Linked DNA regions of Sus scrofa. The protein of the gene in region 6 purifies or fractionates together with the protein of the main gene of each other region. This does not show direct contact. Links are inferred from orthologs where the notes say so. Each region holds a gene or a part of one and is shown on either strand. Other genes may lie near its edges.

Region 1 (4,133 bases), on a different chromosome or scaffold from region 6:
TGTGTGTGTGTGTGTGTGTGTGTGATTTTTAACAGTCTTTTTCTTTATACTGACTTTCAGGCTTCAAAGTGTAAATTCTTGAGTTCAAATGTCATGTTTTCTTTCTTTTGAAGATAGGATAATAAACAAGGACCTACATGGGGGTGGGAGCAGTAGGTAGCAGAAACTGGAAGGTAGGTGGTTTGTAGGCAGGGGTGGAGGGAGGGCACAGAATAAGGTGGAAAATGTACCTGTCTGTCCTTTCGTGTCAGACCCTCCACGACTCTGGATGGAGGTCACATCCCACTGCCAATACGGAGCAGCTCTCTGCCCTTTTCTGGGCAGGCCTAGATCCCTCAGCAGCCCCATAATGGGGGCCTGACACCCTAGGGGTGCCATATCTTACTGGGGAGACGAAATAAGACACATGTTGTTTCTCTGCTTTATCGTGATGGGTATCATGAGCTTTACCAGGGCGAGCACAAGTTAAATGTAAGGTGTCAGTCTAAAGGGTAGAGACCTTATGAATCTCCAAATCCTATAGATAAGGTCTAGCATAGAACATTATCACCGATAACAGATGCCAAATAAATAAACTGAACTGAACTGAAAAGCAGGGGAAAAACTGTCTGCTTATCAAGTGCATTATAGTTTTGGGGCTTCCTTGCTGTGTCTTACTTTCTCATTTCTTAAAATCAACACTTAAGTTCCATTAAAAAAAACTTTATGTGAAACAATAAAAATGCTGACCTTTCTCTGACGTTGATTCAATGATTCATTCAGCAAATATTTGTTGAACACCACGTGCTAGGCACTGTCCCAGGTTCTGAATATATTAAAAGTATGCGACCCTGTTTCAAATAATAGTGAGCAATAATAAGAGCCCCAATGACTCCACGTCAACTAAAAGCTCCTGATGTGCACGCTGAATGAGCTGCTGTTCCGAGGTTTATCCTTCACTGAAGGTAGTCACATTCTCCAATATCACTAGCCATGTAATACCAAATCTCTTATTGGCAATGTTTAGGTAACCTGCATCTGCCCATCCAGAACCTTTCTTAAAAGTATGGGGTTGACTGTGACTTAAGAAGATGATGTGGTTGCTAGAAAGAATTAATAAGACTAGGAATTCAGAAACTGGGCTCTGAAGTGGTGTCACCTCTGTCACATCACTAAATTCCCCAGAATCTGTTTCCCCCCCCATCTGTAAAATACTATGAAGTAGAAAAACAGTAAAGCCTCTTCTAAGTCCGATATTTTACAATCTTAAATTAAGATCTGATTAGTTCTAAATCCTCAGAAGAACATAAACACCACCACATTTCGAGTTTTGGCTCCGTTCCTATGAATGATGCAAAATTTCCCTTTTTCTCTTGTGCTGTGACATCAAACAGACAATACATGTGCCAATGAAAAAAACATCTCTTGCCATCTGGTTCTGTAAGAAACGAAATCACCAGCCACCGCAGCCGCTGACCTTCCACACGCCCTGCAAGAAGTTCTGGGTGGAGATAAGGAATGAGGCACTCTGTCCTTTGGGAATAAACTGGCAGAACAGGCCCTCGGATAGTTAGATATTTTTAGGAGATTTTATGACCCTCCCCCCCAGCCTCTTGCATCTTCCATCTAGAAAAGCACTAAAATAATTAACAAAGACAGCTGCTCCTCCTGACCAGCAGCAATCTTGTGACCAAGCAGTAACCCTCTGCCCAAACATGCGCCTGAGCCCATGCAGCCCCTCCAGCAAAATCACAGAGATGCTGGCCTCCCCCCTCACCTCTTGGGAGCAGTTCCTCAGAGCCATCCCAGAGGCTGCCTCCCGGGCTCTAGTCCTCCTTTTTGCCCCTAATAAAACTTAACTCAGGACACTTCCACTGCACGTTTTTTTTTTTTCAGTCGACACATACATACATATGTAAATACACACATGTATAAATGCGTATATATAATTCTTTTTAAAGTCGTCGCCAAGAACACCGTTTTACAAGTGATTCAACCCTTCTACGTTTTGCCAAATGTAGCTGATGATTTCGCTACAGCAGGAACTTCAGCACCCTTTGTAGACTTTCTTTTCAGATGGTAAAGGGATTGAAAAAGGACGGGGGTGAGGGGCGGGGGCTGACCAGTGCATATTTTGTTATTACCAGGACTTGCAGTCTTATTTTTTTAAGATAAAAGGTTCCAAATGTCAAGGAGTTGCAGTATTTTGGACAGCTCGTCGGGCTAACGGTGGACATGAAGAAAGGGAGCAAAAACCATGGGACGAGACCTAGTTTACGTTGGAGGGAGGAAAAGAAATAACGGAGACTTTTACATTTTGATAAAAAGAGACAGACCCGGGATGGCACTGGGGTGTAGGACACCTGCCCAGCCGTGTGTCTACAGGTAATTTCAGATGCTGGAACCACTCGAGGCCCAAGTTCCTGGTGTGGGAAGGACTGGACGAAGGATGGACCTGGTCTGTTTCTGTTAATGGCTTTCACAAGTAGTGACCTATCCTACCCAGGGCTCCTGACTCAAAAAAAAAAAAAAAAAAAAAAAAAAAAACCCAAAACAAAACCCGAAAAAACCTCAACAGCTCGCAAACTGATAAGCCTAAAACGTTGGGTTTAAATTTCACTTTCGAAAAAAGTTGTACTCAAACCTCTTTATCCAAAGGATTTCGTTCGGAGCCAAAGATGCGAACTGTCACAGAAACCAGCTGACGGACTTTGCTAACTCGTTGCGTCAGGGCTGCCGCTCAGCCTGGAGTTTCAGCAGCGCGCAGCACGGGCGCACCCAGCGCTCCCAGCGCTCCCAGGGCGCGCGCCCGGGGCTGGGGGCGGGGCAGGAGGGAGGGCGTGGAGGTGGTTCCCTTGGAGCACCCAATCAGCAGCGAGGCCCGGCGGTGGCGCTAGTGACGTAGGCCGAGCTTCCCTCCGCCCCACTGCGGGCCGACGCTCGGCACCAGCAGCCACGCGAGCTCGCGCGCGCCAGGACGGGGAGGAGGAGGGGGAGGAGGAGGGCTCTGAAGCCGGCCGGCTGTCGGAGGGCGACGGGTCGCGGGAGGGGAAGGGGGAGAGTGAGCATGCGCAGCGGCCCCGGGGAGGGAGGGGGAAGTGGGGGCCCGTGCGCGCGCGCACGAGCGGCCCGCTGGCGGCCGCGGGTGGAGGGGGCGGTTCCTCGAGTGTCGGCGGTCGGAGGGTGGGCAGGCTGGCGGCAGGTGCCCCCGCGGCCGCCGCCGCCGCCGCCGCAGTCTTCTCGGAGTCCCGGATCTTCTCTTGCTCTGGTGGTGATGAGCGGGGCTCCATCGGGGGCTGCACCTGCCGACTGCCCATCACCCCGGGCCTCCCGGCGTGACCTCGGCCTCTTCACCAGACTGGCCCCCGCGGCGCCGTGCTGCCCCTGAGAGGGAGCGACAGCGGCCTCCACCGCCCCGAGTCCTCGCTCGGAGGCCGCGCCGGGAGAGCGCCCGGCCCCCTCCCCTCCCCCGTCCGCCGTCCTCAATGTCTCCCCGGCGGGGAGGGGGCTGCCTGGGAGACGCGCTGAGCGACCCCCCTCCGGAGGCCCATCGGCGGCAGCAGCAGCGCCCAGCCCGGAGCCCCGAAGCCTCCCCCGGCGGCGGCGGCCTGGAGGAGCCGCGCACACGCCGCCGCCCCCGTAGCCTCGCAGCCGCCGCCGCCGCCGCCCGGTGCCCGAGGAGAGGGCGGCGGGCGCCCTTCGGGGAAGATGAAGGCGGAGGGGGGCGACCACTCCATGATCAACCTGTCGGTGCAGCAGGTCCTGAGCCTCTGGGCCCACGGGACGGTGCTGAGGAACCTCACGGGTAATTGATGCGCCCGGGATGGGGACCGGGATGCGGTGCCGCCCCTCGCCTCTGTTCTCCCTCCGGTGGAGGGGAAGTGCTCCTCGCCGCCCCACCCCCGTGAGCTCGCTAGGCAGTTCGCGGTGCCGACCCCTGGCGAGGATGTTGTTAATTGGATCCGGCTGTTCCGGGGGCGCCAACCAGGGTCCCCCTTTCCCCCCCGGAGGCTCTAGAGTTCCCGGGGGAGAATCCACGACGGCCGCCTCCGCTCCCTGCATGGGGAGGGTCCGCGACCCCCATGCCTCCGTAGTACGCACAGAATTGAGTTAGTGCTGAGACTTGAGTACTGTTAGCCTTCAATTATCCCTCC
Region 2 (3,989 bases), on a different chromosome or scaffold from region 6:
TCTGAGCTTACTTATGTTCCCTAAATAAGTGCTCTTTGTGCATGGAACACAAAAAAATACATATATTCCCTGTACAGCTAAGGTGTGAAGTTAATTTGTACATTACCAAACTGATTACAATGATCAACAATAAGGGATATATTGCCCGAGAATGGAATGAATTGGATGTTCAAAGCTACAGGCCAGCATCTGTGACTTGCTCTTTTGTGATTTTTCAGTCACTAAATGGATTGGTCAAGTGTTAGCTGAATTTTTTTGTTCAAAACCTTCATTGGGCTCTACAAACAAAATCAATCTGGCAACCTTATTTCTACCTTGGAACAAGACTGGAAGTGAAACTACAAAACAGCTTGTGAAATATTCAGCCAAATTACTTCCCTAAACTCCTGTTTCATATTCTGTGCATTGTGAAGTATGTTAAAAAGCCTTTTATATTTGATAACGCCCTTTACAATCTTGTAAAATGCCTTATAAACACTTTCTCAGGTGTCGGATGCAAAACCCTACCCTCTTCAAGCTGCAGATAAGGATGTGGAGATATTGCCAAATAGGATGTCTTTTTTGTCCCAGATCACATACTGAGTAAGTGGTAGAGTCAGAACCAGGTTGTGGTCCCTGATTTTCAGCTGCTGCAGAACTCCCGACCCAATTAAAGGAACAATACCTGCGCTGAGACACTGCGTGTGCCCAACAGGGATAAGAACCACATAGACTTCCTAGGAATTCCGACTTTCGGAAATGTCTTGGGAAAACTTAGTGGAAGACAGGTTGCGCAGGTGTGCAGTGCAGCCTCAAACTGGTACCACTGGGAATGGTTTGCAAAACAGGAAGGTGCAGTTGGGTGTGCCGCGACTTAGTTAATCTGGCACTCCCCCACCTCCCTCCCGGGCGCCCCATTGCCAGATTACTTCTGGCTCAGTGCCCTCAACGAACCATTTTCTCAACTGGGAGGGCTGCGTTCCCATCGCCCTCGTGCCCACCCTACTACTCTACCCGCCACCCTCCAGGTTTACCTGACAAAGCTGGGAGCGGTTTAGCGGAGGCGCGTCAGCCCAAGAATGCCCGGGGGCGTCCGTGACCCCCAGAGTGGGGAGCAGAGCCCGGCTCAGGAAAGGACGCTCCGGGCCAGGGGGGCGCGGCGGCCCGGCCGGGAGAGTGTCGTGTCCCGAGCAGGCCTCAGGGCGGCACTCTGGTCTCGCGGCCGGCGCGCTCGGGCGGGACGCTGGGCGCCGACCCACGCTGGCCGGGAACGTGTCTCCCGGTGACGCAGCCCCGGGTGGGGAACGTGGTGCGGCGGCGGCGGCGACGGTACGCGCCTCCGCCGCCCGCGAGAGGACGTGCGGTGCAGCGAAAGGCAGCGGCGGCAGCACAGCTGGACTTGGAGGGCCGGCGGGCGCCGGGAATCAAGACGCAGGCGCCGGCGGGGAAGTAGGTCCTGGGCGCGGCGCTCAACAAAGAGCGGGGCCGCCCCCCTCAGGTACCGAGCCGGCCCCGGGCCCCGGCGGGCGGGCAGAATCCGGCCCGACAGTTCGCGGGCGGTCAGGGAGGGGGAAGGGCCGCGGCCGGAACACGGCAGCGGCGGGGCGCTGGGGACCCCTTCCAGGCCCGCTGGTAGCGGCTCCCGCTGGGGCGGAAAGGACGGGACTGGGCCGCTCGGGGTTGCAGCCTCTGCTCGTCCCTCGTGCAGGCGGAGCTGCGGGCAGAGGCTCCATGTTGGGAAGCGGCGCCGCTCGTCCTCGTTAGCGGGAATCGGGGCGCCGCGGGCACAGCCGGCGGGGGCCGGGCCCTGAACGAAGATGGAGGCCCCTCTGCGGCCTGCCGCGGACATCCTGAGGCGGAACCCGCAGCAAGACTACGAGCTCGTTCAGAGGGTCGGCAGCGGCACCTACGGGGACGTCTATAAGGTGAGGCAGGCCAGGCTCTTTTCCTGCGGTCCGCTGGCTCCCGGGAATAGGGCCACTTTCTGAGGAAGTGTGAGAAGGAAGGAGGATGCTTTTGTTGTTGCATCTTGGAGATGCCGCGGCCGGGTCCCATTTACTCCATTCGGAGCGCCTTCTAATCCATGCTTGCACTGATCGCTCCAACAAGCAGAACTAACTACACCTTTGCGAACCACCGTTGTACTTTTTTTGTGCGTGTGTGTGGTATAAAGGCTTTTTAATGCTTATTTATGGTATCCAAGAAAGTTCGAATCTGCTTATGGAGTTGCGCTTGAGGATATTCTTGTCTTAACATGGAAAAAATGCTTCCTGGAAGACAGTAGACAAGGAAATATATTGACGTTCTCACATTTTCACAAAAAACTTTTTGATGGATGATGCTGTTTTAAAAAGTCCTTTGAAACCCCAGTCTCTCAATTTTAACTGTAAGTAGTCTAATGCTGGGTCAAAGTGATGTGTGCACAAACATTATCCTATGCAGAACAATGCTTTTCCTGGTAGAAGTTTTGGCATTTGTATCTGATGATGATTTTCTAATTCTTCTTTGGCAATTCCTCTCTCTGGGATTGATAACATCCCATGACCCAGAATAGTTAAGAGCAGCTGTCTTTTTAATTGTGCTCTTTTGCTTTATTTGAGACAAATGATGGGAATGAGTTACTCTTAGTTTGAAAAAAAAAAAAAAAAAAAGTCACAGGCAAGCAAACCCAGTTCCCGAAATCCACCGAGTTCTTGAAGGATCAAGAGGAAAGAGATTGTTTCAGATTGCCTTATGCTTTTTTGTTCTCTGTTCCAAAAAGGGAGCATTAATGTAACTCATATGGGTATGTTAAGGGAACTTGCCTTTGATTTTGCAAAAGCTTTGTTTATTGTATTTGATCATGTCATGTATCCCATTATTCTAAACAACACTCCTGCATATAGCTGAAATAGCCTTGGGTAATTAACCAGAACACTCCTCTGGGGTATGTTGTTTTTGTACAGGTGGTAATATGGAAGGAAAATATCCCTTCTTCCTAACTTCTATTTTTAATATCCTCTCTGTTAATAGTAACAATTCAAGGTTGGGTTATGACAGCTCTAGCACTGTTTGAGTCTGTTGAGATGCACTGTAATGGATAGGCTTTTTATCCTTTAAAACAGCATTTGAATCTTCTGTACTAGACACTGTTCTAGTATGGGATGCTGAATTGTGAGAGGAAGGTTCCAGTTTTTGCCGTGTGAATAATTTTAATTCAGAGTGGGTAATTACAATAATCTTCTTTATATAAAATTAGAGGTAGTTAACTCTTACTTGTTTATCCATGGATTAGTCATTTTGTGGAATGCTCTTTAAAAAATTGAAATTCCTGTCTGCTTTCTCAGTCCCACTTTTTAGTCATCTTCGTCTTATGATTCACTATGTGTTAGACTGGCTCAATTCATTTCATGTTAATAACATAATAGTCTGAATTTTAGTTCTTGTATTTTTCTCTCCTCCCCACTGCAAGAAAATTTAAAGTGTTTTCTCCATAAAAATCCCAAGAACTCCACCTTTTTTCTTTATAAATATAATAACTGAAGCAAGTGTCTGGAGCAGGGTTTTATTCTTTCACAGAAAGCAAAGGGTTATATTAAAGGGGCAGCTAATGCTTGCCTTTTACTCTGGTGCCTCCCTGCCCTATCTTTTCTCTTTCATAGCTCCTTCACCGAGGATCAAAGACTAAATATTTATCATACACCACTATCACCCATCCCCAGACAGTTCCCTTCCCTCATATTCATGCTTCCTCACATTTACTTGTATACTCATTCCACACCAGAACAGCTTCTGATTCCTAAACATTCTCAAAACTCTGGTCCCTTGTCTTCCGTTTTCCTTTGTTCTAATTACCTAGAATCACCTCCTACTCCCATTTCCAACTGTTGCTATCTTTCCTGTCCAGGAAAGCCTTACTCAAGTGCTCCTCTGGGAGGCCCCAGCCTCTCTCCTTTTCTCTCCTACCTCATTTACTGCTGTTCCCCCTCCTTCATTCTCTTCTACCCACACTGGTCTGCTTGCTCTTCCTT
Region 3 (4,104 bases), on a different chromosome or scaffold from region 6:
GTCAGTTTTGCTTAATTGATGAAGGCAGAAAATTATAGACAATCCTAGCAGAGTGCATAGCACATACTAAAAACTTAACAAATACTGAATAAATGAACTTATTCCAAAACTATTATTATCTCATAACTAGAGGCAGAAACTAACTCCAGCATCTGTTTAATCTTTGTAACTGCCATAGAGTCCTTTAGGTTTTCCAGCTATTAATCACTTTCTTCCAGATGGGCAGTGAAGGAGAGAGATGAAGTGAAAGAAGTCCCTGCCCTGAAGCATACCTATGTCTGTGTGTGCTGGGGGTGGAGTGGGGGTTGGTGTGATAGTAAACAGATCAATAATGAATGTGAAACCAGGTTGCATTGTTATTTCAGATTATTTGCCTCAAGCAGATAAAAAAATCAAAAAACACAAATCAGCCAAGTTTTTAAATAACAAGGAGGCACATTATAACAAATATATTAACATTTGGGAAGGTTCTTTTTCCTGAGCCTTTACAGTATATCTTATTCTCTCTTAATGTCTTAAAATCAAAATATTCTAAATTGATTTATTTAGATTTTCAATGTAAATGAACCATCAATGTTTGTTCTCTCATATGTGAAACACTGAAGGATTATATTCCTGATTCAGTATTTACTCTGTGTACAGGTTAATATTTAAATATATAACTGCAAGAACATACTTAAATTATTTAACTGTCTATAAAACTGACAGAGCCTGAAGAAAATATCCAGAGATGAATGAGAGTAAATAGAAACTAAAAACACAGTCTTACAGGAAGAGAATAAAGTAAGCACAAAACTAGGAAGCAAATCTATACAAGTCCTCAGGAGAACAAAATCTTCAGGAAAGGAAAACTCCTGCTGGAAATGGCTAACAGAGCCAGACAGCAACAGCCTGCCTAAAGGATCTTGTTTAATGGGTATCACTAACTAGACTATTAAAAAGTGAGCGCCCACTCCAAAAAAGTGAACACTCAAAAGTCAATGTTGCCATTTCTCAAATTTCAGGAATACCCTTACAAAGAGATTTGCCACCAAGACAAAATCCCCACATTCCAAGTATTCTTCCCCATTATGTGCTTGTCAAAATAGGATAAGCAACACCAGAGTGGGAAATAAACACACTTCACTTATGAAGCTGATAATTCCTGCAAGCTGAAGTTAATTTTTATTTTACCTGAGGCACGTGTTTACAATGTGATTCCTGGTTCCTGGGGAGAATATTTTTCACTCAGTCTATCTTAGAATGCTTGGCAAAATGCCCCCACGTCTCTTGCTCCCAACACGGAAAACTCTCCAGCCCAAATGTATAACCTATCCCCGTGTTTTGCCTTAGAAGCCCTGACAAATCCAGGCCAAGGAGACTACAAGGTGGCAGGGAAATACTACAGGGCAGGCAGGAAGGCTTGCATGGGCCCCAGCACAGAGGTGCAGAGCCACCAGCTCACTCGGGAGAAAGCAGGCTGAAAAGTAAGGCTGGGGTGGGTTTGGTCAAAAAAGTGGAAAGGGACTGACAGGTGCACATCCCCTCATCATCCTGTACATCATGGAAAGATTACAACAAGCTTTCTTTACAGAGAGGGGGGCACGAGGCTCCCAGGGAGAGTGAGGTTGAGCAGTTTTACGGGAAGCACGAGGACTGGGCTCTGAAGGAAGCAGAAAGGCAAGGAAAAGACCCTGAAAACAGGTTTTGGTGAAGATTCCCCCAGGATGAGCAAGTCGTTCCCAGCACCGAGACTGGAGGAACCATCACACCTGTTAAAGGATGACTCCCTGTTATCCGCGTGGACAGCGATGTTGACCCCACAGAGTAGGAGTGGTAGCACAACTGAGGGAAAGACTGAATCTGGGGATCTGACGCCGCACGAAACCTGATCAGGAGGGGAAGAGGCTGAATCCCAGGACGGGGCCAGCAGGGCAAGGGTGCGTGCGCTCCGGTGGGATGAGACTTATTTGGAAGAGAGCTGACTTAAGGAAACTACTGGGGAAGAGAGGGCTATCGCCGGACTCCAGCAGGAAAAGGCCGGTTTAGAAAGGAAAGCCTGGCTCGGAGGGGTCCTGGGTGTCCGGCTCGGGAAGGCGAGCCTCGTGAGGGACCGGGGCTGAGCCGGGGGGGCTGAGGCTGATCCGCGCGAGCTCAACAGGAGCTCACCTGGGGAGCGTGTGGCCTGGAAGGAGGAAACTTCCTGGGTGGGTGAAGGCGGACCGGAGTGAGAGAGGTGGGCACCGACCGAGCGGGGCGAGGGGCACCGAGGGGTCGAGGGGAGTGGGCGCCGCCTGGGGCGGCGCCGGGGCGCAAACTGGCCGGGGCGGGGTCTGGGCAGCCGCCGCGAAGCTGCCGGCTCGGGATGGCGCCCTCCCCCCGTCACACTCGCACACACACACGCGCGCACACACACACACAGACACGCGCGCGCGCGCTCCGTCTCGGTCGCCCCGCCCGCCCGCCCGGGCCCGAGAGAAACTGCCCGGGTCGGTGAACCACAGGGCAGTGGGGGAGGGGGCCAGGGACACCGGCCGACCAGCCCACTGGACGGGCGGGCCGCGTTACCTGTGTCAGGGAAAGCTGGGCCGCCGCAGCCATGGTGTTTCCATCATGCACGGGAGGAGAAGGAAGGACGAGCGGACGGGGTCTCCGGGGGAGGAGGAGGCGGAGGGAGCGGCCGGAGGCGAGGCCCGGGCAGGCGGGCGTCTCCCCGAACTTCGACAACTTCCCTCCTCTCGCCCGCCCCGCCCCGCCTGGCCCCGCCCGCCCGGCGCAGGCCGCGGCGGCCCCCAAATCCTGGCGCCGGAGTTGTTGCCACCGGACCGGAGCCTACTCTTGGGGCCGCCGGAGAAAACCCGGCCCGTAAAGAAATGAAGGTGGGCGGCCTGTGAAGATAGAGGCAGAGGCCGCTCTCCATTGTCCCGAGAACTTTAAGCAAGTCACCTGCCAACTCTAAGCTTCTGCTTCTGAAAAAAGGGGGAAATTATATCCAAAGTCCAGATTGCTTGTGAGGATTAAATGAGATCTTTATAAGAAATAACAGCACTTTATATATGTCAGAATCTATGTTAGACGCTTTATTTTTTAATTGTATAAATGAAGGGACTGAGACATAAATATATTGCACAAGTGAGGAAACTGAAACACAAATAGGTGTCACACGTAAGCTGGTTCGATAGCTGGTGAAGTAGAATCCACGTCTGACTCCAAAACTTTTCATTTAACCACCTGCTATTACAGTGTGATACCAACAAAGAAGACTCTAAAGTCATTCCCTCCGGGAGCTAGAGTCTACCTGGGAGGGGGAAAGAATGCTTTCCTGACCCACTTGCTGCCTCCCACACTCAGATTGTTCCATAAATGAGCACTGGGAGCTGCTCAGGTGCCTGCCGCATTCCTAAATCCTCCCCGGGTCCACCTGACAAACTCCTCTTACGTTCTCCAGAAACAACTCAAGGATCACGTCCTGTCCTTCGCAAAGCATCTCCCGACCTCCGCAAGTCGGAGCTACACACTCCTCTTTTTAACACTTCTTCTCTACGTTATGAAGTCACCACCCTGATGACCGTTTCCATCTGTCTGCTCTCTCGACTGGGAGCCTCAATGATAAGGACTGTTTCTGATACATAGAATGTGTTAGGTGTTCATTATAAGGCCTTAATTCCTGCCAAGTCAAACATGACACAGACTACACTTTCTTTGTCTCTTTTTAGGGCTGCACCTGCTGCATATGGAGGTTCCCAGGCTAGGGGCCAAATCGGAGCTGCAGCTGCCGGCCTATGCCACAGCTGCAGCAATGCCAGATCCGAGCCGCATCAGCGAACCACACCGCAGTTCACGGCAAAACTGGATGCTCAATCTGCTGAGCGAGGTCAGGGGTCAAACTTGCACCCTCATGGTTACTAGTCAGATTCGTTTTTCACTGAGCCATGACTGAAACTCCTATACTTTCTTTTTGTTTGTTTGTTTTGCTATTTCTTGAGCTGCTCCCGCAGCATATGGAGTTTCCCAGGCTAGAGGTCCAGTGGGAGCTATAGCCAACGGCCTACGCCAGAGCCACAGGAAGATGGGATCCCAGACGCGTCTGCAACCTACACCACAGCTCACGGCAACGCCGGATCC
Region 4 (4,118 bases), on a different chromosome or scaffold from region 6:
TCTTATTCCATAAACACTGATGGTGAACCCGATGTATGCTAGGACCAAGGATGAGCATGGGGCTTTTCTATCTAGGGGAGGAGTATAAGTCCTCAAGTTATCATGGCCTCTTTAAGGCCAATTAATACGCAGCCCTGGGTCAGCATAGAGGGACTCTATGTACTTGAGGGAGGGCAAAGGAAGGGTCAGGACAGACTTTACAGAAGAGGTGCCATCAGAGCTAGTGCGTGATTTATTTACTTATTTTCTTTTTCTTTTTTGGCTGCCCCAAGGCATATGGAGTTCCTGGGGCCAGGGTTCAGACCTGAGCTACAGTTGTGACCTACACTGCAGCTGTGGCAATGCCGGATCCTTAACCCACTGTCCTGGGCTGGGGAATCAAACTTGCATCCCAGCGCTTCAGAGACACCACCAATCCCACTGTGCCACAATGGGAACTCCAGAGCCAATGTGGCAATAACACACAAAGATGGGAAGGATGGAGGGAAAACAAGGCTACAGAGGTCTCATGTATGAGGCTGGTTGCTTAGATTTTCCTGTAGTAATAAGAGCCATAAGAGTTTTAAATGGGTAAGTGAATTGGTCTGCTATGCCAGAGGATTGACTGCTCTAAAGTAGCATGCAGGAGAGTTGAGAATTCAGGTGAGAGGTACCAGGGCTTAGACCAAAGTAGAGGAGGGGCTGGAGAAGAGGGGCTGGGCTCCTAAGGCATGGAAAGACATGATAAGACGTGAGAATAAGAAAGGAAGGAGACTGCCTCACACAGAAATGGCTCAGAAGAACCCACCCTAGAGGAATGGACATGAAGGAGCTGGACAAAGAGGAGAGAAATTATGGGGTAGGGTGTGAGTCAGGAGAGACAGCATTTCAGTTGTCTGCCATTGACTGATTCAAGTACCCGCATAGGTTCTGACACCCCTCCAAAACTCCCAGGTGGCAAAGAGACTAGGGCTTTCTATTCAGGAATATGGCAAGTTTTTCATCACAAAAGAGCCTGGGGTCTGACATGGTTCTCCAGTGAGTAGAGACAAGCAAGGGTAACTTGGCAAAGTGGGAAATCAAGTACCAATCAATAAACAAGGAGTTAAGAGGAAAGCCCACAGGCCTCTTCACTTACATTAGAGCCACCTTAGCTGCTCAGGGTAAGCTGACCACTTTGCCTCCCAAGCAGGCTACCATGAGGACAAACAAACAAACTACACAGCATTACCCACACCAGGCTCTACCAAACCTTTGGGGAGACCAGTCTGCACAGCAGCTGACATGAGAGGCCCAAGCCAAGCTTATGAGTAAAGGCAGCAGGCACTCCAGGCCTGGGGAAAAGGACTCAGTGGTAGGCAGCATGTGGATTTTCTATAGGAGGGAAAGGTCCTTAAATCCAAGACTGGGCACCAGTGCATGCTTCCAAAAGGAGTCAGTTTGGGCCTTCCAGCAGGTTTAAGAACAGGATCTGAAGACACACCAATTCTCAGCTCTGGCCACTGCCCATCCACATCACCATCACCTACCAGTTTCTCGACCACTACAGCTTTTCACAGGCCCCTGAACCTGCCAGGCAACTTTGGTAGTCACACGTGTCATTTCCTCTTTGTAGAATGTTTTTTCTGACATCCAAGCCTCTGTCCAAGATGCAAGACTTAGCCTAAACATTGTCTCCTCTCTCAGATCTGTTCTTAGGCACTTTCCAGCCCCCTCTCCACCTACCGTCTCCCCATCACAGTCCCAAAACCCTTCTTTCAGAGACAAGAGCATTATATTACACCTCATTAGCTCTTGTGTCCAGGGGGCTCACTGAGGGCAGGAGCAGCTGTGAAGCACCACTGCAAAGTTTAAATGAATGGAAATAAACTGGGGCTTGCAGATCTTTGTAGCCTAATCCAATCAGGATTGTGAGCTCGGTGATATATCTTAACGCCAGAGAGGACACAGAACTGGGGTTGGTCACCTTCCTCCTGAAAATGGGTTTCAGGCCTGGAGTCTGTTCAAGAAGGAAGGGCAAGGTGCAGAGGGGGATCAGCGGCTCCTCAGCATAAGCGCCTAAATCTAGACCCAGAATTTGGCATACAGAGCCCAGACTAAGCGTCTGAACTAGGGCAAAAAGGGTAGGAAACCCGGACCAGTCCCAAGAACACTAGAGACCCTGGGGCCAGGAGACCTAAGGGGCTCTGCGGATTCAGAGAAGGGGCCTCACTTTCAGCCAAAACGCTGAAGGACGAGGCAGAACGGCCGGACTCCGGGACAGGGAAGGATTGCACACGGGGGTCTGCGCCCTTTGGGAAGCACGCTCAGGGATGTGCCGCTCCCACCCTCGTCGCCCTCGCCGGCAGAAAGGATGAAGAGCCGGTCCTCAAGGACCCTTGGGCCATGAAGGTGGTCGAGGCTCGCGCCGCCCTTCTGCTTGGTCGCCGAGGGCCCACCCCCACTCTCCCAGCTCACCCCCCGCGGGCCGGTCCAGCTTGAGGATGTCCCGCAGGTGCTGCGTGGCGTCCTCGATGTCGATGCTCGCGCAGGAGGAGGCCATGGGCCCAGCCGCGGACGCCCGGTCCGCACCGCGTTCGTTCCGCCGACGCCGCGCACCGTCCAGGGGCGCACAACCCAGCCAGGGCCAGACAGTGGGACGCCAGTCACCACACTCCGTCCACCTGAAGCTCGCAAACCGCCGCCCGCGCCGCGTCCCTGAGCCCCGCCAACCCCACCAACCGCCTCCACTTCCGGCCCGCCCGAGCTTCGGCTCCCGGAACCTGCCCTGGGCGGAGAAGAAAGGTTCCGGGCTGGGGGTGGCCGCCACGCACCCTCCTGAAGCCCGTCCCTACCGCGGTCCCGCCCCGGGACTAATAGGGTCGGGGTGAGGGGGAGGAGTTCCGCAGGGCTGAAGGAGAGCAAAATGTCCAGCTACCGGACCGCCCAAAGCTCTGATCGCCTCAGGATATCCCACCTGGTCCAAATCCACTCCCTATGGGCCTAGGACCAAGTCAATTCGGTTGCCAAGGTGAATCACTCAGATGCCCCAGGAACAAGTTGGATTGACAGAAGCCTCGGTTTCCCCTTCAGGAAGCGTGTGGTTGTAACCCAAGGCCTGACGGGATCTGAGAAATCCTGGACCCAGGAATTGCATGGGCAGGGGAGATTGTCTCCACAAACATCACATCACTCCTTAATGTCCCCCAGCATCCCCCTGCATGTCTTGGCACCCTTGGGCAAAAAGAAAGTAAACCATAGTAATATAAACACCTCTTTATTGCAGACATTTCAGGCACAGGTACATGGAAGAAGCTGTATTGCCGATTTTATACAGGGTGGTTTAAGAGGCAGCAGGTTTCTGCCTCTCCCCAACCTCCTCCACCCCCCAAATAACACAGCAGCCTAGAAATCCGTCTCACTGAAATCTCCTGAGTATGCTGTCTTTCCAAACAGCACACCATCCAGCTCTGTGCCCAGGGTAGCCAGGCAACAAGTGGGGGTCTGAGTTAAGTCCTTGGCTTCCATCCAGAGTGCAGGAGGGAGGGAGGTGGTGTTCAAGGTCAAGCAAAGCTGTGGTGCCCTCACCAATCCTAAAACCCCTACAGGACACCAGCCCAAGTCCTTGGATTGGTCCTAGCCTGTGGTTGCTACCCTGCTACCAGTTTTACACCACCAAGGCCTCAGGGCTAAAGGGCCAGATTTGTATTAGGCAAGTCCTGTTCCCCAAACTGAGGAGCAGAAACTGCCTCAGTATTAGAGATTTCTTGGGATTTGAAGATAATGTGAAGGGGTGGGTGGGTGTGTGGTAAGGGAAGGACTAGGAAGAGGCCTAGAGATGCCTTGCAGAGGTCTCAGAGGTGAGAAATCCTAGAACCTGAATCACTCAAACTCAGATTGCGTTCTTTTACAGCTCTAAATCTATACTCCAACTCAACTAGGCCTGGATCTGTGGGCATTGGAGGCTGGCTATTCAAGGCACTCCCCTTTGGGCAATGATATCCAAAGCAGCTGGTACAGCATCTAGGCTGCCCTCTGCTTGGCCTGGGATTTATGGGGCACACTAGATGTGATCCTGACTCTTCTGTAGATAAAACAGGCCCCTCATCCCTCAAACCTCTGCTCACTTGGTCTTGCTGAGCCCTCAGTCGAAAGGGACT
Region 5 (4,072 bases), on a different chromosome or scaffold from region 6:
AAGAAGACAATAACAAATGTTGATGAATATATGGAGAAACAAATTCTCACACATCCTGGTGTAAATGTAAAATGATAGTCTCTTTGGAAAAGAGTTTGGCAGTTACCTCAAAATGTTAAACATGGATTTATCAAATAACCCAGCAATTCTTCTCTTAGGTATATACTCAAAAGAAGTGAAAATATGTACATACAAAACTTAAATACAAATGGTCACAGCAAAATATTCATAATTGCCGAAATGTGGAAACAACCTAAATAAATGTCCAATAACTGATGAAGAAATAAGCAAAAATATGGTATATGTTTAATGAGGAGTCTAACCTTTTTTTTTGAAGGTTTCAAATATACTTTATTTCTTCAATCATGCCATACTTTAATGGGTACGCAGTGCTTTTACTTGGCATGAATTATGAGGTGGTTTTGAAACAATTCAGTATTAAACCAGATGGGATGATTATTCTTCTCTCCATTCCTTTGGGGTGACTCTGCCAATAGGGGACAGGTTCCATTCTATTCCAATTTGTGTTGCTGTATATGCCCATACAGCAACACAGAAAGTGGCTCCACTAGCTAATACAGCATTACCATATTTGTCATGGAAATCAAGTGCCCACTTCTGGTGGTTCTGCCTTGCCATTGTTTGCTGAATGTTTCGAACTCCAAGACGACTTAGTGCATTTTTGGCTGAGGGAAACATCGTGAAGCTTTAGACACAACTGCTGCAACTGCTACCTTCTTGCAACTATGCATCCAGTACCCTTGCAAAGAGCCCTGAAAAACGAGGAGTCTAACTTCTAATCAAGACATCTACATGCGACTTTTCCAACCTGACCATAAACCACTACCAAGGCTTTACCTGGCAGGCCTCATATGGGAAAGCTGCCCTCCCCTCAGCAGACTGGTGCACAGTGAGTGTACTGCAGTCTCTGAAGAGAGTTACAGTCAAGGACTGAGCCCCCCACCCCACTCCCAGCAGACCATGCTCTTTAGCATAGCTGCATCCCTAGCCCAGGTACCTACTTTCAGAAGTTTCTTTATCTGTGACCTGCAGCTGAGGCCTTTCTTCAGGTGCCTCTTCTGGGATCTTCTCATTAGGGAGGAAACATTAAAGACACTTTTTCTCTATTCTAACTCAGCACTTTTCCACTCGAAGCCCTTCCAGCTCTCCCTCCAACCAGCTCTGGATCCATAAAACTGCCTCCCTCAGCAGTAAGACAGCCCCCCTTCCCCACCTGGTACTGATTCACCTGAGTGAGGGGGCCTGCACTTTCTCATCTTTAGCCTCTTGCTTATACTATCCCAATAAGTGAATAAAGGCTGGACTGCTACTCTCATTTGGATCAGTGTTTTTAATCAGATACCTTGACACCTGGAAGCTCAGCACTACCCTTGCCCCCTGCCTCTCTCTCTCTCTAACTCAGCTGAGCTCCTGACACATAAAATGGAGTATTATTCAGCCATAAAAAGGAATGACGTACTGGTACATGCTGAATCATGGATGAACTTTATGCTAAAAGGAAGGAATAAGTCACAAAAGACCACATATTGTACAATCACATTTATAAGAAATGATCAGAATAGGCAGATATAGAGAGAGAGAGTAGATTAATAAGCCACCAGGAATGAGTACAGGGAGGAATGTGTACTAATAGCTAACAAGCACTGATGTTTCTTTGGCATGATGAAATATTCTAAAATTAAATTGGTGATAACTGCATAACTCTGTAAATATAATAAAAGCCACTGAATTTAAATAATTGGGTGAATTTTACGGTTTGTAAATGATTTCTCGGTAAAGCTGTTTTTTAAATGTTAGTTCCTAACATTCCTAGAGCACTAGTGAGATGGAAAAATGAATATAAAACAGATTATACTGCTCTGTAAAGGAATCTATAAAATATCCTTTAAACAGTGGAAAGGTACTGAAAGATTCTGAGTCATGGACTAAAATTATGTCATTTATCTTTAAGAAAAAGCACCCTCATAAGTGTGACAAGAATGGCTTAGAGAAAAGCTGAACTCAAAGTGGAAACTGATGGAAAGACCAGATGACAGACTTCTAAAGGTTCACTAAAAAAAATTAAGAGGTAGAGAAGACTTGAGCCAAGACATACAAGCAGAGGGACAGGGCTACAATACTATCATTAGAGTGAAATGCTATCTATAGGAAAAAAACACGAACATACAAAAAGGATACATCCTTACTTTATAAGCCCCCAAACAGAGGAAACTATAGAAAATAATCAACTTCAAGAGAACAGAGTGATAGAAAACTCTTAATAACTGTACTATTAAAATAATTACCAGTTGTAATCTATGACTTAAGTAATTGAGGGTTTGCCTTCAAGAATATCTGATTATAATGCCAGTATCTTTTCCAAGTGTGTCAGAGAGTAACAGTGTAAACTCTATCTTTGAGTATAAAAAAAAGGAAAAATTCACTCAAAACTATTTTAATCACTAGAATCAACTTCATTTGTTTCAAATGTCCTACAAACTAAGTAAGCATGCTATATATGTAGCTTTATAATAAATATTTGCCTCCTATTAACACTCTCAGAGGAAAAGACATTACATTTTTAATGCCTCACATTTTTCAGAAACAATTATTTATTGCAAAACATATTTTATTTATCTTTTCTTTACTACTGCAAAATCTTTATTGTTATCCATTCTTTTCTTTTTACAAAACATATTTTAAAATGCAAATGTATTCACCAAATGTCTCACCTTAGTTTTTCAGATAAATCCACAAAGAAATGTCTACAGCAAAGGTTCCAGTTTAGGCAGATACCTGAATTGAAAAAAGGAAAAAGACAGGGTCAATATGACTAAACCTGAGAAAGGAACTTAATTTTCTCAAGAGGAGAACCCTAACTTGATCATTTACACCTTCTAAAATTTTGTATTGAAGTTGTTTTTGCGAAACCTGTAGAATGGCAAGGATTTTAATTCTGCTAGACAATAATTATTGTCTATAATTATTTAAAATTTTGACAATTCTTTTCTTTTTTTTCCTTTTTTAACAGTCGCACCTGCAGCACATGGAAGTTCCCAGGCTAGGAGTCGAATTGGAGCTGCAGCTGAGGCCTATGCTACAGCCACAGCAAGGCCAGATCCGAGCTGCATCTGCCACCTACACTGCAGCTTGTGGCAACACCAAATCCATAACCCACTGAGCAAGACCAGGGATCGAACCCACACCCTCACAGAGACAATGCTGGGCCCCAACCCACTGCACCACAATGGGAACTCTCTTGACAATTCTTGAAATAAAAAACTTATCAAAACATACACTATAGGAGCTCAGTGGCTCAGTGGTTAATGAATCCGACTAGGAACCATGAGGTTGCAGGTTCGATCCCTGGCCTTGCTCAGTGGGTTAGGGATCCGGCATTGCCGTGAGCTGTGGTGTGGGTCGCAGACATGGCTCAGATGCTGCATTGCTTTGGCTCTGGTGTAGGCTGGCAGCTACAGCTCCAATTCAACCCCTAGCCTGGGAACCTCCATATGCCTGGGAGCGGCCCAAGAAATGGCAAAAAGACAAAAAAAAAAAAAAAAAAAAAAAAAAAATGTGCACTATATTAGCGGGGGTGAGGGGGATTGATTCAAGAAAAATATCTTTCTTTCCTCTTTTGAGTTTTCAAAAGAAAAGGCATTTTCTAAAGGTCTGCACCCCCTATAATACCACCATCATGATCTATCCTCACAAAGACAACAGAATTCAAAAATCTGGAAATGTAAAAGTAAACCAATAGCACATGTTTATTACAAAGCTTAAGTGAAAGGAAAGACTAAATTTTTTAGTGGCTAATAAATTATGAAAATTTCATCTACATTGGTAAAAGAAATCAAACTGAGATATTATCTTTCATCAATAAAATTAGAGTCATTTTTTAAATAAGATATTAAGCATTAGTGCTGTTCCAGTTCTCCTCCTACCTCACAGAATTGCACTTTACTGTTCTGTTTCAGCTTAGTTCTGGCTACATGACTTGCTTTAGAGACTAAAATGTACATTGACATGATACAAGATATTACTAGGCATAAACTTTCAGAACTAGTACACA
Region 6 (4,031 bases):
TATATAATCCTAAACAAAAAGCTTATTTCCCACATTCAATCTGCCAAAAAAGGTTATTAAAAGCCTCAGCATCACTGACTTTAGACAGCAGATGCCATCTTCTTTCTTTCTTTTTCTTTTTTTTTTTTTTTGCTTTTTAGAGCTGCAACCGCAGCATATGGAAGTTCCCAGGCTAGGGGTTCTAATTGGAGCTATAGCTGCCGGCCTACGCCACAGCCACGTGGGATCGGAGCCACCTCTGCGACCCACACCACAGTTCATGGCAACGCCAGATGCCCAGCTCACTGAGCAAGGCCAGGGACTGAACCCAAATCCTCATAGATACCACTGCACCACAACGGGAACTCTTGAAGGCCATTTTCTTGTCATCCTTTCCTTTTGGTCTTTAAGCAGAACCTGGGACCCAAGACAATGACAAAAGTGTTCAGTCCTCAAGGGATCTCAAAAGGAAACTGGCTTTGACAAAAAAAAGAACACAGTCCAATAGTGTCTGATCTCAGGTCACAATTCCTAGGTTCCAATTCCGGCTCAGTCATTGACTAGCTGTGTGACCTGGGGCAAGTTACTGAATTTCTGACCCTGTTTCTTTACCTGCAAAATGGAATTTTGCTTTGTTTTGTTTGCTTTTTAGGGCTGCACCCCCAGCATAGGAAGTTCCCAGACTAGGGGTCAAATCAGAGCTGTAGCCACTGGCCTATGCCACAGCCACTGCAACTAGGGATCTGAGTCACAAATAAGACCTACTCCACAGCTCATGGCAAAGCCAGACCCTTAACCCACTGAGCAAGGCCAGATATCAAACTTGCATCCTCATGGATACCAGTAGGGTTTGTAATCCACTTAGCCACAACTGGAACTCCCTAAAATGTAAATATTTTAATAAATGGAAATCACAGTAATTTCCTCACTAGACTGTCATAGACAGTAAACGAGACAAGGCACTAAAGTACTCAGCAAAGTACCTGGCACAGAATGACCAGTCGATAAATGTTAGCTATTAATATTGTATATGCTTAAGTTCAAGAAATTCTTCTGTGTGGTTTCCAAAGAAAAAGAGCTCAATGGGGGCTGGGCAGAACAAAGATTAAGTAATCTTTAAAAAGACGCAACTGAATCAATTGCCCTATGTGGAAAATGGGTACATGGCGGAAAGAACAATTACAATAGCCATGAACTTTCCACACCCCATCCACAAACTCTGGCAATCTTCACCTTCTCTCTTGGGCCAAGGATCTGACCTCCTATCTGTTATGAAAAGGTGGAGCTCAGTATTAAGGTAAGATCTGAGATTAAAGTTCTAACACCAAGATGTGGGGAAAGCTCAAACAAAACTGCCTGCCATTTCCAAATTTTGTAACCAACAAAACACATACACAAACAAAAGGTCAAGAATTGAGTTCCAATGATCATTTGCTGTGTCACTGCCCAGCAACGCAAAACCCCAGACACTAGGAAGGTGGTAAAAACTCGAATACATCCGGTTTAGGGTAAATACATGTTACATACCTATTCCCATCTCAGGTTATAATGTTATAAAACCAATCAGACTGAGAAAGACCTAGGATAATTTGTGGGCTTAAAGATTCCACACTCTTTTTAAAATTGGTATGTGTTAACAAGAGAAACTATTTCATCTTCCCATTTCGGGTCAGAGGGGATAAATCTAAATTAGGATTATTCTAAAAGGGCAAGTCTGCAAAGGGCTAGTTCAGGAGACTTTCAATTCATGTGAGACTAGCCTGAATCTAGTTTCAACTGGTCAGGAGGAAACTGCTTCAGCTTGGTGAGCGTGAAAAGGCACTAAGACCCTAGGTGCTGTTACACAGGTAACAACAGCCTCAGAATTACTCTGTACCTCACAAACTTCAAGTACCAAGTGCATAAATCCTCTTCACACTCCCCAAACAGCCCATGTTATGTATAAGACAGACATATCTAGGAAAATTCAGGCAACAACCCCCAACCTACTGAGCAAGGAGAGACCCTGCAGTATAAGACTGACAATGCTGAAGTCCAAGGAAAAATGAAGTTCCATTCACTTTCAGGGAAGGGATTGTTTCCATTGGCGTATATCTGGTTTATTTCCTGAAAAAAAAAAAAATTCTTTCCTCCACTATTCGCTTTGAAAACTACAACCCCTTAATTGTCAAAGACAGTCGCTGGACACCAGGATCTCCTCGGCACAGTCAGCCGGGCATCAGCTTATTCTGGGCTGGTGACAGGGGACCTTTCTTCTATAACCAAGGCACTTAGCTCACCACCTTCGTCCTCCGCGGGGGAAGAGGACGGTAAAAGTATTTTGGAAAAATGCCCAAGAAAGGAAAAAGCTGACCGGTTTCCTGAGGGTGTCTCCATCCCTCCCGGCCGGTATGCGGTGACTTCCTACCAAAGGCCACCAGGGGAGTATAGCCAAACCCGGCTCTCCAACACTGCAGGAAATGTTTCAAGCCTAAAAAGCCACTTGTAGGATTATCGGATTCATTCCGGGCACCGCTGCCAAGTGATGCCCCCGCAGTGCCAACATCCCCCTCAGCTCTTTGTCCCCACGTTGCCTGGCCCTGCACGGGCGCTAGCCCCACCCTGGGGCCGAAACAGTTCCCCTTCCCCTGGGCTGTCCTCCCAAGTCACACCCAGAGGCCTGGGTCAGCGGCTCCTCCTCCCCCACACACTCCCGCTCGTCCGTGGGAGCGAGCCGGACAGCGGGCTGCCCTCCGGCCACGGTCACTCCAGCCCGCTGCCCAAGTCCCTCGTGGGGGTCAGCTCTCGAGGAGCAGCCGGCTAGGCTGGGGAGTTCGGCGGCCCTAACCCCCGCCCGGGGCCTCCCGTCCCTTCCGTCCCTCACCGGGCGGAGGCTGGGCGGGCGACGGTGGCACTGGCGGGCGCGGGCCGCTGCTGTTGATGATGTAGTGGGAGACGCGCGAGTTCTCGGAGACGCTGAGCACATAGTCCCCGGGGCTGGTGCTCGAGTCCCGCACCAGGAACACCCCGTGCCGCTGGCCCTGCAACAGCGCCACCGCCTCCTGCCGGCTCAGCCGCCCCCAGTACCAGCTACTCCGCTCCTCCGAGTCGAAGTTGCCCGCCATGGCCGACTCCGCGCCTACACGCTGGGCCGCCGCCGCCGCGCGCGCCCCTCCAGTCCCGGCGCCCGCCGCCCAGCGGACCGGCTCGGGTCTCCGCTTCACAGCAGCGCCTGAAATGGCGGCGGCGGCCGCGGGCCTTCCCCACCGGAAATGACGTACTCCCTGCCTCCGGGAGGATGCCGGGAAGGGGACTGCCGCCCGCCATTGGGAGAAGGGCAAGGGGCGGCTCGCGCGCTCACTGCGCATGCGGACTCTTGGGCGTCGCCGCCTGGTGGGGACAGGGACTGCAGAGAGTGGAGAGGCGGCGTCTAGGGCCGAGGGGCGGGGCCTCAACTAGCAGTCCGCAGAAGTTTGTCTGTGCGCTGTTGGCCACGCGGTTCTGGCTAGTCCAGGCTTCAATTTCCTGGAAGGCCCGGTGCTTCTGGGCAGCAACTAGGAGACAGAATTGGAGTAGAAAAGGTGATGTGGCCTCAGGGCCTGAGTTCCCTGAGACGAATATTTTCTGAATATTTTCAGATCTGTTAAGCTCTTGTTTTCACTGATTCATTCAGCAAACAGTTGACACCACGTTTGCCTTTCGGTCGCAGAGGTCATCTAGGCTGGGCCCTTCCCTCGGGGAATTCTCAGACCCCGTGGGAGGAACCAGGAAACAGGCCATGACGAAGGGATGCCAAGCCATTTGATGGGGGTAAGGACAAGGGGCTCTAGGAACATAGAGCAGGGCCCCCTAATCCATGCTTTAGAGGAACCCAAGAGTACTTCCCAGTGGCTTGAGCTGAATATTGAATGGCAGTTGGGGAAAAGCATTCAAGACAAAGGGACCAGAGTGTGCCAAGTCAAGGAGACATATGGAGTCCTCTCTGTTGAGGCTTTCAAGTCATCTGCCCAGATTCTCTAAGTCTGGCCTTGGATATCCTCTACTCTCCCTGCCGTCACGATCACTGCTATCTC
Region 7 (3,216 bases), on a different chromosome or scaffold from region 6:
TGGGGAGCGCTGGGTGGGGCCGGCTGTCAGAGAGACAGGTGAGCAGGACCCGGGAGCTCAGCAGGGGCTCCTGCTGCGGAGAATGAGGGCGAGGGCCCCGTCTGTGCGTGCCCCCCGCCTTCCCCCCGAGTTCCCTGACAGCCTCTGCTGTGCCCCCAGCCTGCCACATCCTGGAGTGTCCCGAAGGGCTTGCTCAGGACGTCATCAGCACCATTGGCCAGGCCTTTGAGTTGCGCTTCAAACAATACCTCAGGAACCCGCCCAAGCTGGTCACCCCTCATGACAGGTGAGCAGGCGAGCGGTGGGGGGGGGCAGCTCTCGGGCTGGGACCGGAATTGGAAAAGTAGGTCTGCTCTTCCCACGCTTGAGCTCAGAGAGGAGCAGGGAAGGAAATAACCTGTGAGCCCCTGCTTCCCACTTCCTGCTATTCTTACGTTTCCTGAGGCCATGGGGAAGGCCTTTCGAGGCCCTGCCTGCTGCCAGGCCAGCTCTTCCTCTCGGGTGCCCGTGCTGGAGCTGTAGTCCAGGGCCGCCCGCTCCAGCTCTTCCTGGCTGGATGGGCTTTCCTAGTCCCAGCCATCTCTTTCTGGCCTGTCCCTCTCTCTTGCCCATTTCTCCATATTTAGTGCCTTCTTGCCCCTAGAAGCCATCAAGAATTTGGGCGAGGGAGCATGGCTCTTTCCTGAGATCCTTACCTCTCCCACTTCAGACCAGCAGTGTTGAGAATTTAGGGGAGGTTAAAATATTCCAGAGGGAGATTCTGTTGTGGCTCAGCGGTAACAAACCCGACTAGTATCCATGAGGATTCAGGTTCAGTCCCTGGCCTCTGTCTCTGGGTTAAGGATCCGGCGTTGCCGTGAGCTGCGGGGTAGGTCATGGCTTGGATCTGGCATTGCTATGGCTGTGGTGTAGACCGGCAGCTCCAGGTGCAATTTGACCCCTAGCTTGGGAACCTCCATATGCTGTAGGTGGAGCACCCCAAATAGTGGTGCTGCTTCCCCTCCCTCTTGGGAGACAGCATAACGATCGAGGGCATGCCTCTAAAGTCAAATTTGAACTTATGTCTCTCAGATTCACCACTTTTTATTTTATTTTTTAATTTTTTAAATTATTTATTTATTTAGTCTTTTGAGGGCCACACCTGTGGCATATGGAGGTTCCCAGGCTAGGGGTAGCATCAGAGCTGTAGCTGCCGGCCTGCGCCACAACCACAGCAACACTGGATCCTTAGCCCGCTGATCGAGGGCAGGGATCAAACCTGCATCCTCATGGATACTAGTCGGGTTCGTTCCCACTGAGCCACGACAGGAACTCCTTCACCACTTTTTTTTTGTTTGTTTGTTTGTTTTAGGGCCACACCCATGGCAGATGGAGGTTCCCAGGCTAGGGGTCTCATTGGAGCTGTTGCTGCCAGCCTACGGCCACAGCCACAGCATCGCAGGATCCGAGCCTCGTCTGTGACCTATACCACAGCTCACGGCAACACCGGATCCTTAACCGACTAAGCGAGGCCAGGGGTCGAACCGGCAACCTCATGGTTCCTAGTCGGGTTCGTTTCCACTGCACCACGACAGGAACTCCCTTCACCAATTTTTAGTTGGGAGACCAGGGTAAATCTTTTCACCCCCGACCCTCCCTCATTTTCCTCATCTACAAAATCGGAGAAGGAAATGAAACCTACCTTCTAGGGTTGCCAGGAGGAGGACATGATTCCATATATAAAACACCCCACGTCAAGCCTGCCCCTCAGGGATTGCGCAGTCCATGGCCGCTGTTCTCTTCTCCCTCCGTCCTCCCTCCCACGTGCCTCTCTCCTTCCTGTCCCTCCCAGGATGGCTGGCTTCGATGGCTCAGCTTGGGATGAGGAGGAGGAAGAGCCGCCTGACCATCAGTACTATAATGACTTTCCGGGGAAGGAGCCCCCTCTTGGGGGGGTAGTGGACATGAGGCTTCGGGAAGGAGTGCCCCCAGGGGCTGCTCGACCCACTCCCCCCAGCGCCCAGACCCCCAGCCACCTGGGAGCCACACTGGTGAGTTGCTTGGGGGGGAAGTGGGCTGGGCCCAGGACGGGAGTGGCTGGTTAGGGCCTCTGGCCTCACCTGATTTTTTGTCCCTTCAGCCTGTGGGGCAGCCTCCTGGGGGCGACCCAGAAGCCCGCAAACAGATGCTGCCGCCTCCACCCTGCCCAGGTAGGAAGGGGGCTGAGAGGGGCAGAGCCGGGGTGTGCGAAGCAGGGCGGGGGTCGCTGTAAAGCCTCCCTTTCTTCAGCAGGCAGAGAGCTCTTTGATGATCCCTCTTATGTCAACGTCCAGAACCTAGACAAGGCCCGGCAAGCAGGGGCCGGGGCCGGGCCCCCCAATCCTACTATCAATGGCAGTGCACCCCGAGACCTCTTTGACATGAGTAAGTGCGCCTCTGTCTTTCCTGCACCTGCCTCTTCCCGCTGGGTTCCTCTTCTTCTTTTTTTTTTTTTTTTTTTTTTTTTTTTTGTCTTTTTGCCATTTCTTGGGCCACTCCTATGGCATATGGAGGTTCCCAGGCTAGGGGTGGAATCGGAGCTGTAGCTGCCAGCCTACGCCAGAGCTACAACACCAGATCCAAGCCGCGTCTGTAACGTATACCACAGCTGACGGCAATGCCAGATCCTTAACCCACTGAGCAAGGCCAGGGATCGAACCCGCAACCTCATGGTTCCTAGTCGGATTCGTTAACCACTGAGCCATGACGGGAATTCCTGGGTTCCTCTTCTTTTCCTGCTTATCTGCTCTTTCCTTCCTGGCTTCCCCTCCCTGAAGGTCTGGGCCCTGGGCATGTGTCGTGCCAGCCCCCCTCCTAGCCCTCTCTCTGCACCCCCAGAGCCCTTCGAAGATGCCCTTCGGGTGCCTCCACCTCCCCAGTCGGTGGCCATGGCCGAGCAGCTCCGAGGGGAGCCCTGGTTCCACGGGAAGCTGAGCCGGCGCGAGGCCGAGGCACTGCTGCAGCTCAACGGGGACTTCCTGGTGCGGGAAAGCACGACCACACCTGGCCAGTACGTGCTGACCGGCTTGCAGAGTGGGCAGCCCAAGCACCTGCTCCTGGTGGACCCTGAGGGTGTGGTGAGTGTGGCAGAGGCATGGGTGGCGTGGCAGGAAGGACGGTGCAGCACCCTCCCGGGCAGCCCTGTTCTTGCCCTCACTGCTTCCTAGACTTGGCCCGACGGGCACCTCTGTCTGGGCC

The links.
Region 1: the proteins of CRK (region 6) and NEDD9 purify together in Homo sapiens (affinity purification with western blotting; 3 studies listed by BioGRID). This does not show direct contact. The link is inferred for Sus scrofa from reciprocal best matches to the Homo sapiens genes CRK and NEDD9.
Region 2: the proteins of CRK (region 6) and MAP4K5 purify together in Homo sapiens (affinity purification with mass spectrometry; 4 studies listed by BioGRID and IntAct, with this or other methods). This does not show direct contact. The link is inferred for Sus scrofa from reciprocal best matches to the Homo sapiens genes CRK and MAP4K5.
Region 3: the proteins of CRK (region 6) and EPS15 purify together in Homo sapiens (affinity purification with mass spectrometry; 3 studies listed by BioGRID and IntAct, with this or other methods). This does not show direct contact. The link is inferred for Sus scrofa from reciprocal best matches to the Homo sapiens genes CRK and EPS15.
Region 4: the proteins of CRK (region 6) and EDC4 purify together in Homo sapiens (affinity purification with mass spectrometry; 3 studies listed by BioGRID and IntAct, with this or other methods). This does not show direct contact. The link is inferred for Sus scrofa from reciprocal best matches to the Homo sapiens genes CRK and EDC4.
Region 5: the proteins of CRK (region 6) and PEAK1 purify together in Homo sapiens (affinity purification with mass spectrometry; 4 studies listed by BioGRID and IntAct, with this or other methods). This does not show direct contact. The link is inferred for Sus scrofa from reciprocal best matches to the Homo sapiens genes CRK and PEAK1.
Region 7: the proteins of CRK (region 6) and SHC1 purify together in Homo sapiens (affinity purification with western blotting; 3 studies listed by BioGRID and IntAct, with this or other methods). This does not show direct contact. The link is inferred for Sus scrofa from reciprocal best matches to the Homo sapiens genes CRK and SHC1.

What each region holds. Positions count from the first base shown.
Region 1 is NC_010449.5:8,090,754-8,094,886, forward strand, and holds the start of NEDD9 (enhancer of filamentation 1), read right to left. Parts: upstream 2,801-4,133; 5' UTR 2,624-2,800; intron 1-2,623. Other genes in the region: TMEM170B (transmembrane protein 170B), read left to right, coding at 3,465-3,784. UniProt on the Homo sapiens protein: Scaffolding protein which plays a central coordinating role for tyrosine-kinase-based signaling related to cell adhesion. As a focal adhesion protein, plays a role in embryonic fibroblast migration.
Region 2 is NC_010443.5:180,296,692-180,300,680, reverse strand, and holds the start of MAP4K5 (mitogen-activated protein kinase kinase kinase kinase 5), read left to right. Parts: upstream 1-1,189; 5' UTR 1,190-1,477; intron 1,478-1,687; 5' UTR 1,688-1,796; coding exon 1,797-1,904; intron 1,905-3,989. UniProt on the Homo sapiens protein: May play a role in the response to environmental stress. Appears to act upstream of the JUN N-terminal pathway.
Region 3 is NC_010448.4:160,652,514-160,656,617, reverse strand, and holds the start of EPS15 (epidermal growth factor receptor substrate 15), read right to left. Parts: upstream 2,801-4,104; 5' UTR 2,581-2,800; coding exon 2,548-2,580; intron 1-2,547. UniProt on the Homo sapiens protein: Involved in cell growth regulation. May be involved in the regulation of mitogenic signals and control of cell proliferation. Involved in the internalization of ligand-inducible receptors of the receptor tyrosine kinase (RTK) type, in particular EGFR.
Region 4 is NC_010448.4:28,488,109-28,492,226, reverse strand, and holds the start of EDC4 (enhancer of mRNA-decapping protein 4), read right to left. Parts: upstream 2,801-4,118; 5' UTR 2,522-2,800; coding exon 2,437-2,521; intron 1-2,436. UniProt on the Homo sapiens protein: In the process of mRNA degradation, seems to play a role in mRNA decapping. Component of a complex containing DCP2 and DCP1A which functions in decapping of ARE-containing mRNAs. Promotes complex formation between DCP1A and DCP2.
Region 5 is NC_010449.5:57,441,870-57,445,941, forward strand, and holds the start of PEAK1 (pseudopodium-enriched atypical kinase 1), read right to left. Parts: upstream 2,801-4,072; 5' UTR 2,733-2,800; intron 937-2,732; exon of another isoform or gene 1-936. UniProt on the Homo sapiens protein: Probable catalytically inactive kinase. Scaffolding protein that regulates the cytoskeleton to control cell spreading and migration by modulating focal adhesion dynamics. Acts as a scaffold for mediating EGFR signaling.
Region 6 is NC_010454.4:47,682,397-47,686,427, forward strand, and holds the start of CRK (adapter molecule crk), read right to left. Parts: upstream 2,801-4,031; 5' UTR 2,036-2,800; coding exon 1,969-2,035; intron 1-1,968. Other genes in the region: uncharacterized protein LOC110255905, read right to left, coding at 3,316-3,512. UniProt on the Homo sapiens protein: Involved in cell branching and adhesion mediated by BCAR1-CRK-RAPGEF1 signaling and activation of RAP1.
Region 7 is NC_010446.5:94,825,834-94,829,049, forward strand, and holds part of SHC1 (SHC-transforming protein 1), read left to right. Parts: intron 1-159; coding exon 160-286; intron 287-1,831; coding exon 1,832-2,030; intron 2,031-2,119; coding exon 2,120-2,189; intron 2,190-2,268; coding exon 2,269-2,403; intron 2,404-2,856; coding exon 2,857-3,095; intron 3,096-3,216. UniProt on the Homo sapiens protein: Signaling adapter that couples activated growth factor receptors to signaling pathways. Participates in a signaling cascade initiated by activated KIT and KITLG/SCF.